2 linked regions of the Oryza sativa Japonica Group genome follow. The protein of the gene in region 1 interacts with the protein of each later gene in a pairwise test. Links are inferred from orthologs where the notes say so. Each region holds a gene or a part of one and is shown in the gene's direction. Other genes may lie near its edges. The genes, in order: zerumbone synthase and ABC transporter I family member 10.

Evidence for each region.
Region 2: the proteins of zerumbone synthase (region 1) and ABC transporter I family member 10 interact in binary tests that used the Arabidopsis thaliana proteins (3 or more experiments, as listed by UniProt). The link is inferred for Oryza sativa Japonica Group from reciprocal best matches to the Arabidopsis thaliana genes ABA2 and ABCI10.

Annotation. Positions count from the first base shown.
Region 1 is NC_089037.1:34,910,331-34,914,641, forward strand, and holds zerumbone synthase, read left to right. Parts: upstream 1-1,478; 5' UTR 1,479-1,598; coding exon 1,599-1,642; intron 1,643-2,799; coding exon 2,800-3,601; 3' UTR 3,602-3,808; downstream 3,809-4,311. Other genes in the region: mitochondrial Rho GTPase 1, read right to left, coding at 1-96. UniProt on the Arabidopsis thaliana protein: Involved in the biosynthesis of abscisic acid. Catalyzes the conversion of xanthoxin to abscisic aldehyde.
Region 2 is NC_089035.1:33,119,584-33,123,853, reverse strand, and holds the start of ABC transporter I family member 10, read left to right. Parts: upstream 1-1,207; 5' UTR 1,208-1,258; coding exon 1,259-1,534; intron 1,535-2,069; coding exon 2,070-2,156; intron 2,157-3,234; coding exon 3,235-3,360; intron 3,361-3,438; coding exon 3,439-3,561; intron 3,562-4,168; coding exon 4,169-4,270.

The DNA of each region.
Region 1 (4,311 bases):
GGGGAGCCAGAATGTGGTGATCCGCTCCAACGTGTTCGGCCTGTCGCACGCGTAAGTGAGCACCACCGCGTCCGCCGTCTGGCACTCGGCGATCATCGATCACACGCCGAATCGATCAACACCACCACCAGCACAAATCAAATCGACACACGACGATGACACACGATTAGGGGAGAGAAGCGACGAAGACGGCTCGATTTGGGGAGAGAGGCGACGACGGCGGCGAACGTACCTGGAGGAGGTGTCGACGATGGTGACGGGGACGCGGGCGGGGAAGTAGTCGACGGGGAGGCGGGCGGGTGGCAAGACGCGGGCGACGCCGTCGTCCTGATCGGGGAACCTCCCGGTGGCGATGGTGGCGACGAGGCTGGACTTGCCGGTGCCATGGTCGCCGATGACGGCGACCCGCACGTCCAGCTTGGCCGCCGCTCGCGACGACCACGCGACCCCCATGGCGTCTCCTCCCTGACGTCTCCTCCCCTCCGCCCGCGGTAGGGTTTTTTTGTGGGGGGTTTGGGCGCGTCGCGTGGTGCGGCCGCCATCGCTGGCGTCGACTAAAATAGAGAGAGCGAGAGACGAATGGTGGGCATGTATGGACTTGAAAGGCCTGTTGGGCTGGGCTTTTCGGTGTTCCTACTCCATATGCCTAAGCGAGGCCCACAGGAATGAGGGCTCACGTAGTCGTGATGTCATCGTTTTTTAAAGATAATGGACTCAGTTAAATACTACAAAATGATACATTCTAAGAGTCCACCCCGGTCTCTGTAAAGAATGCACACAGCAAAAAAAACAGGATCTAAGAAGACCTTCTCATCACAAAACAGAAACCAGTCGCTATCAACCTGGCTATCAACCAATAGACTAGATCGCGACTCATGCTTATGGATAAAAAACTCCCACCTAGTCCAAACGTTGCGATACCACCGTAGTAGTATCCCGAAGTCCCGGTTTGTGAAGGATGGCCCAAGTGCGTAGCCACCGGATAACTAAAGTAGTAATCTGCAAATGAGAAGACACATCATACATCGGTCAGCGTCAGCCATCGCCCACCGCAGTGATCGCCGTCGCCGTCGTGGAGTCAATGTTAAAGAGTTTTTTTCTAAATTTTTTTAAACCTTCTTAATTTTAAAAACAAACAATTCCAAAATTTATTTTTCAGTCTTACTAACCCGTCTCGCAGTTAGTTAAGGTGACGTGGCAAGACAACACCCGGAAAGGTTTGTTATCAAAATTAGAAAATTTCAAAAAAAAGAAGGAAAAGCTCCAGTACCAGCCTGAGACGCTGATGGCATCGCTGTGAACGACCCCGCCCCCAGCCTGAGATTCCGTATTATCGCTCTCAGATCTCAGTTGTTCGTTTCTTCTGATTGTTTTTCATTAATTGAAGAAGCTTCTTTGCTCATTTGGTCATTTTGATCGCGATCCACTCAAGCACCCGGGCTCCACTATAATAATGCAGGCTAGTGTAGCAGCCCAGCACACACACACTAGTGCAAGCAGCTCGAGCTTGAGCTCCACCTCGCCATCGCCGGCGACTTCTCCTGTCCTGACCGGCCGGAGCTCCGATCTTGGCGGTGACCAAGAGACCTGACGAGACGATGTCCGCCGCCGCCGCCGCCGCCGCATCCTCCCCCGCTCCCCGGTACGTACCTGGTTCTGGTCGCCGTAATCCGATCTCCTCTTTTTTTTTTTCGCACGGTCTTCACCGGCGGCGCTGTATGTTAGTTTACTCGATCTCGAATCCCCGATGCGTCGCCGCCGGTGAAGGTCCCGGGCTTTCGCCGTTTGCCATGGCGAAATCGAGGGATCTGACTGACTGACTGACTGTCCCTATCCCCTTCCCAGTAAGAGTGGGCTGCTCAACTGATAGGTTTTGGTGTGAGAGTGTTTGGGGCTTCTTCAGATTGCCCAGAGGAAACCCCATATGTTCTTGAACTGAAAAGATGAATGGGGAATCTCAATGTTAGTCAAAGGGGGAATTAGTTTCTAATTTTCCCTTCAATAACATGTTAGCTGGTGTGTCAAGTCCTGTAATTTGTGAATTGTGAGAGTTCAGGCTAGCAAGATTAAGCTTGTATTTTGTTAGAAATAATGTGGTTAAAAATCATGTTTGGGTGGTTTTATGAGAAAAAAACTGAAAACATTGTTCGCGAACAAGCAAGTAAACAACTTTGCAATGGTGCTTGCCTGGTCTTTCCTCAACTAGGATAATGTTCTTTTCAAGTTAATTAGCTGTCGCAACTCACTAGTAGAAGTGCCTATAGAATTTAATCAAAACGGCGGCTCACTTATCCTTCCTCTGCCCCTTCGCAACTGCATTCTGGAATCAGCTTGAAATCCCGCAGACTATCACCAGCGCGAGCGACCTCCATGCTCTGCGCCCAAATGGCCGCCTCCCAACAAAACACTTCAAGGTTTTCTTCTTGCTTTGTCTCTGGGGATTATGGAATCATCGTTATGATGTTGTCTTCCGTGGAGAATCCCCCTCTCTGCATAGACTAGTTTCTAGATGTATTGAGGATGCAACCTTGTGGGCAGAGAGACTAGTTTGTGCTGACAGGATCGTTGTAATCCTGGAAACAAATTCTTTCCTCCCCCCTTCGCACTATGTAATCCAAAGTCGTGTACTCCTATCTTTCAATGAAAATTCAGGTGGGGAAGCTCTCCCCCCCGGTGACCAGTCTAAAAAAAATAATTTAATCAATGGTTCATGAAACACTGGTAATTCTGATACTAAATACAATTTGCATATTTATCAGTTCTTTAAATTTGATTTGGGTTCTTTCCTCTGGAGAAAAGGTTGGAAAGCAAGGTTGCGCTGGTTACCGGTGGTGCTTCAGGTATTGGTGAAGCAATTGTTCGCCTCTTTAGAGAGCATGGTGCAAAGGTATGTATTGCAGATATCCAAGATGAAGCAGGTCAGAAGCTCCGGGACTCCCTTGGAGGTGACCAAGATGTCTTATTTGTCCACTGCGATGTTTCGGTGGAAGAGGATGTAGCCCGAGCGGTCGATGCAACAGCTGAAAAGTTTGGTACTCTTGACATCATGGTCAACAATGCTGGCTTTACAGGCCAGAAAATCACAGATATCCGAAACATCGACTTTTCTGAAGTCAGGAAGGTAATCGACATCAATTTAGTTGGTGTATTCCACGGGATGAAACACGCAGCGCGCATCATGATCCCCAATAAGAAGGGGTCCATCATCTCATTGGGAAGTGTTTCTAGTGTCATTGGAGGGTTGGGACCTCATTCATACACAGCAACCAAGCATGCTGTGGTGGGTCTAACCAAGAATGTAGCTGGGGAATTGGGGAAGCATGGGATACGCGTGAACTGCGTATCTCCCTATGCAGTGCCCACGGCTCTCTCCATGCCGTATCTGCCCCAGGGCGAGCGCAAGGATGATGCCCTGAAAGACTTTTTCGCCTTTGTTGGTGGTGAAGCAAACCTGAAAGGTGTGGATCTGCTACCTAAGGATGTTGCTCAAGCAGTGCTCTACTTGGCAAGCGATGAAGCGAGGTACATCAGCGCGCTCAACCTCATGGTGGATGGTGGCTTTACCTCTGTGAATCACAATTTGAGAGCATTTGAAGATTAACAGAAGTTGTTAGGCACAATTGGTACTCTAGTTTCAGATGCTATGTACCATTCTGATTTTAGAACTTTGATCAATTACCTAAAGTAAGAATGTCAATAAGGAATGCAATCTTGTATCTGTGGTATTGTATAGTACTATGATTGTATTGCCGGTGCTTAAGGACAATCATTGATTATTATCAGCACTATTATGTTACAGTTCTGAAAACTGGTATGAGTTCATATAGCATCAATTATTCAGGTGTGTTAAGTAATGCTTCTATGTCAGCATGCCTACAGTACAGAGTTGCAAACCAGTGGATTTTACAGTTGAATAAAATTGATGCCCATTGGTGTATATAATCACTGATGACATGCACAAAACTGAATTTTCCTGAATTGGCACTACTGTGCTCACTCTAACAGAATCATTGACTTATCTGAAGAAAAAAAAATCTGCAGATAAAAGGGATTCTTCTACTGATGAAAATTGTATTGGACGAACTTTCATTGGGCCCGATCCATGAAAGAAGAAACTGACAGCATGAGATTAAACTGGTTGTGCCACGTCTAAATATTCAGCATACATGTAAAGTGCGAAAGAATGGCAGCCAACTGATTTCACTAATGCATGTGTGATGCAACAAACAATAATTTTACAGTACATGTATACACCAAACATAAACATATCATTAGCATAAGACGTATATCATCAGTCATCACCATCTGCGC
Region 2 (4,270 bases), on another chromosome or scaffold:
AGGAATTCAATACAAATGATAAGTTGGGGTTCCGAAGAACAAGCAGACGGACGGTCTAGCCGACACGCGCGCTGCAAGCAAGTAGCAATGGCTAAACTTTATTCTAACAAAACCCCAGAAACCCTGAAGGGGTAACTAGCTATATATAGGGGTGGGAGGATGACCTAGGGGTGCCTAGGGTCGTGCTCCACCAGCTTGGGGCGCACCCCACATGGGCCCCACCTGGGCCGGGGTCCCAAATGAAGTTACAAGCCCATAGTCCCATTACAGGTGTCGCAGCACCTTGTTTCTTCAGTTGCTGCCGACTGAGATGGAATTTGGCAATGAGGCTTGATGCATTGGAAAGAGGACTCCGAGAGCTTTCCATCAAGTACTCACGGGCCGAAAACGGAGGTCGTATGGAGCTTCGGCGGCCGTTTGAAGTCAGCAGGGTAGTAGGTGGCCGAATTGGATTTTGAGACTTGGAGGACTCGAACTTGATATCTTGTTGTCCATCCATGAGGTGAGCAACGGATGTATCCGTAGTAGCCATGGTCACATCAAATCATAAGAGCTAAAAGTTGTTATATTTTGAGACGGAGAGATTACATGATTGGAAATCTTTCACATATTTGTTTCAGGTAATAAAAAGCCCGTTCTTTTTTTATGGTTTATTCTCTTTCTTTTTTGTGAATGGAAAATGTACCACATGGTCTCTGTGGCTGTGTTTTTCTTGTAAGAGGAACCGCAAATACACAAACTAGAGAAAAGACTCCTCTAACTTTGTACAGTTTGTAGTTGTACTACTGAGATGTGGATCATAACAAAGTGGAGCCCACATATAAGTGGCACAACTGTAAACTAAGGGCCTGTTTGGTACAGCTCTAACTCCTAAATATTGCTCCAGGAGTTGAGTCTGGAGTGGAGTTGTGGAGCTGCCTAAACCCAGCTCCACAACTCTAGTATATTTTGTGAGAGAACTCCACCCAACTCCACTCCCAGTTTTGGTGAAGCTGAAACTGTTTGGCTGAGCTCCAACTCCAGGAGGGGTGGAGCTGGAGCTGTACCAAACAGGCCCTAAACAAAGTTAGAGAATCCGTTTCCACGAACTACAGTAGGAGCACAGGATGGTATCCGCACTCTCTGCCCCCAAAGCCCCAAATCGGCCCATCAACCAATGGACTTGTGGGCATCTGGCCTTATAGCCTTCTGGTCTTCTGGAGAACCGGGCCCCCAAGGCCACAAGCCTCCATCTACCGCTCTCACTTCTCTCGCAGAGATGGCGCACGCCTTCGCCGGCGGCACCTCCGCCATCTGCCGCTGCCCCCACGACCCCGGCCGAGCCGCCCTCGTATCCCGCCCTCGCCACCGCCTCCGTGTCCTCGCGTCGTCCCTACCCACGCCGGCCATCGAGGGCCAGGGCGTCGAGTTGTCGGTGACGACTCGGCGGGGGCGGGTGCTGCCGGTGCTCAAGGACTGCTCCCTCCGCGTCCCTCCGGGTCAGCTCTGGATGCTCCTCGGCCCCAACGGCTGCGGCAAGTCCACCCTTCTCAAGGTTCTTCATCTTCTTTACCCCCCTGAACTGAAGAGGGCGTCGTCCTTGTGCTTTTCATGTGTATTTTGTTCGTGCCCTGAGCGTTTTTGCTCATGGAGTAGGCAAAAGTTTAGTTGTAGTATTAGATTGTGCCCATGGACCACATTCTTTGATATCTTGCTCCAGGAAATTTTCGTATACCGTCAGGAGCCGATGGATGTTTTAATTCGAGAACCACTAGTATGTATCTTGGGCTAACCAGTGAGTGAGCATTGTATAGAATCTCAGGAGTGGAGCATCAAGCACATTTGACTATTTGGATGAATGGACCAGATGGCACAATCAGATTAGCAACTTTTTGTGATATGCTCACCCAGAATAGAATGATATAGGATGACTGGATGAGAAAGTAAAAAAGACAGAGGAGAAGTTCTATAAATTTTATTATAATGCTGTACAATATTTACTTGCCTAATTAGGCTACCGGACTATCAAAATTGGTCTGAATTTCTTAGTACAGCTCCTTAATGGGATGTTAACCGAATGTTTTCTCTAGGTTTTGGCAGGATTTTTAAATCCTTCTTCTGGTACAGTGTATATTAACAGGCCATGCAGCTATGTCTTCCAAAATCCCGATCACCAGGTTGTCACTTATATTCTGCTTTAGTGTTTATCTGAAATTTCACTCCGTTCTCAAATGGAATACAACAATGTTAAAATTGCATTCACATAACGTGTATTATGCTAGTTAGAAAATGGAATTCATGAAAATCTTTGTTCTTTTCTATCTGGTATTTATTGATACTCTGCAGCAAATTGAAGTGTCTCGGTTCCAATGTTCCTTGCTTGCATATTCGTTTTGGACTGTATAAGCATGTTGGCCATAGTCTTAGTAACCCTGTTGAATAACTATTCATCGGTTAAAGTACCAAGGTCCAGTTTTTCTTTATAAGTACTTCTGCAATATTTAGGCTTTACTTCACCGACCAATATAACTCATCCAGCTTTATGTATTTTAAGGTAATACTCATACTCCCTCCATCCCAATATAAGTGTAACCTAGTACAAATGTGATATATCCCACGACTACAAATCTGGACAGACATTTGTACTAGGATATGTCACATCTGTACTAGGTTGCACTTATATTGGGATGGAGGGAGTATTTGAGAGCTTAGTTAACTATCCTACTAAGTTCGACAACATTATATAAGTCTTTGAAAAGAAACGACATACATAGACATACTAATTCGTAAATTGTACTGTAATCTGATGAGTTCACTCTTAACTGTTGCCCATAATAGATTTAGTTTCACCAAGCAAGAAATTTTGTGCTACATGATTGTCTTAATGAATCTAGTTCTGTGTTCCTCATTAATCTTCATTCACAAACTTGGGTGTGAAAGTAATTCCTAACTCAGAACTTAGTAAACTCTTTGGACTAAGAATTTTATAGCTAATTGGATACATAAGGTGTTGATATTTTAGTTCCTTTGAAAACTATACAGTTGTGCTGTTTGCTGAGTTTCCCCTGAACTAAATTTGAACATATAAATGTTCATTAAGATATTGCTAGACTGTATTTGCATCATATTACTAGCAACTATAGAATGTTATTTTTTTGACTCTTGATGCATTGGAGGAAGATTGCTTAATGACACATTCATGTCAAATTAGATCAAGCTTTCTGGTACATATTAAGTTACGTTCTTTGAATGCAGGTTGTGATGCCGACAGTGGAATCAGATGTTGCATTTGGTCTTGGTAAGCTCAACCTTTCGTTGGATGAGGTTAGGTCAAGAGTATCACAATCACTGGATGCTGTGGGAATGTTAAGCTACTCTCAAGTAGGCAGCTGACATGCTCCTTTTGGATTATAATCTATTGTCTGCACAAGGTTCACAAACATCCTTCATCCAACACAGAGGCCAATCCAAACTCTGAGTGGCGGGCAGAAGCAGAGAGTTGCAATTGCCGGTGCTTTAGCTGAAGCATCCAAAGTACTACTACTGGATGAGCTGACCACATTCTTGGATGAATACGACCAGGTATAAATATAATGCATGTTCTTGTTTCTAATCAGTTGTACTCAAATACTCCCTCCACTTTTTAATATACGACGTTGTTGATTTTTTGAGAAACGTTTGAACATTCATCTTATTCAAAAAATTATGTAATTATATTTTATTATGACTTGATTTATCGTCAAATGTTCTTTAAGAATGACTTAATTTGTTATATATTTGCACAAAAATTTTCAATAAAACTAATGATCAAACGCTTGTCAAAAAGTCAACAACGTCATATATTAAAAAACAGAGGTAGTAATTGATCACGAGGTAACTAAATATTATGCTGAGGAGAACAATGATTAACCACATCACTGAAAAACCCCAGATCGATTTATTATTTAAACAACTAAACAATTGTGTAGCTTTGCTTCTACAAATGCAATTTTCTTTTCTTTATTCACATTTGTTGAGTGGCCATCATACCTCAAAAGCTATGGCTAAACACAACTTTACCCCTTGTTGAAATCTCGATTCATATTTTTCTGTTTCTAATATGTACTCTTTAGTAGCATGTATTACTCCGCTCTGGTAATGACACTGTGACTAAAATGAGCGTTCTACTCTTTCTTTCATCAAATTGTAGATGGGTGTTATCAAGGCGGTAAGGAAATCTGTAGGTGCTGGTGGGGAGGTTTCAGCATTGTGGGTGACCCATCGACTGGAAGAACTCAGATATGCTGATGGT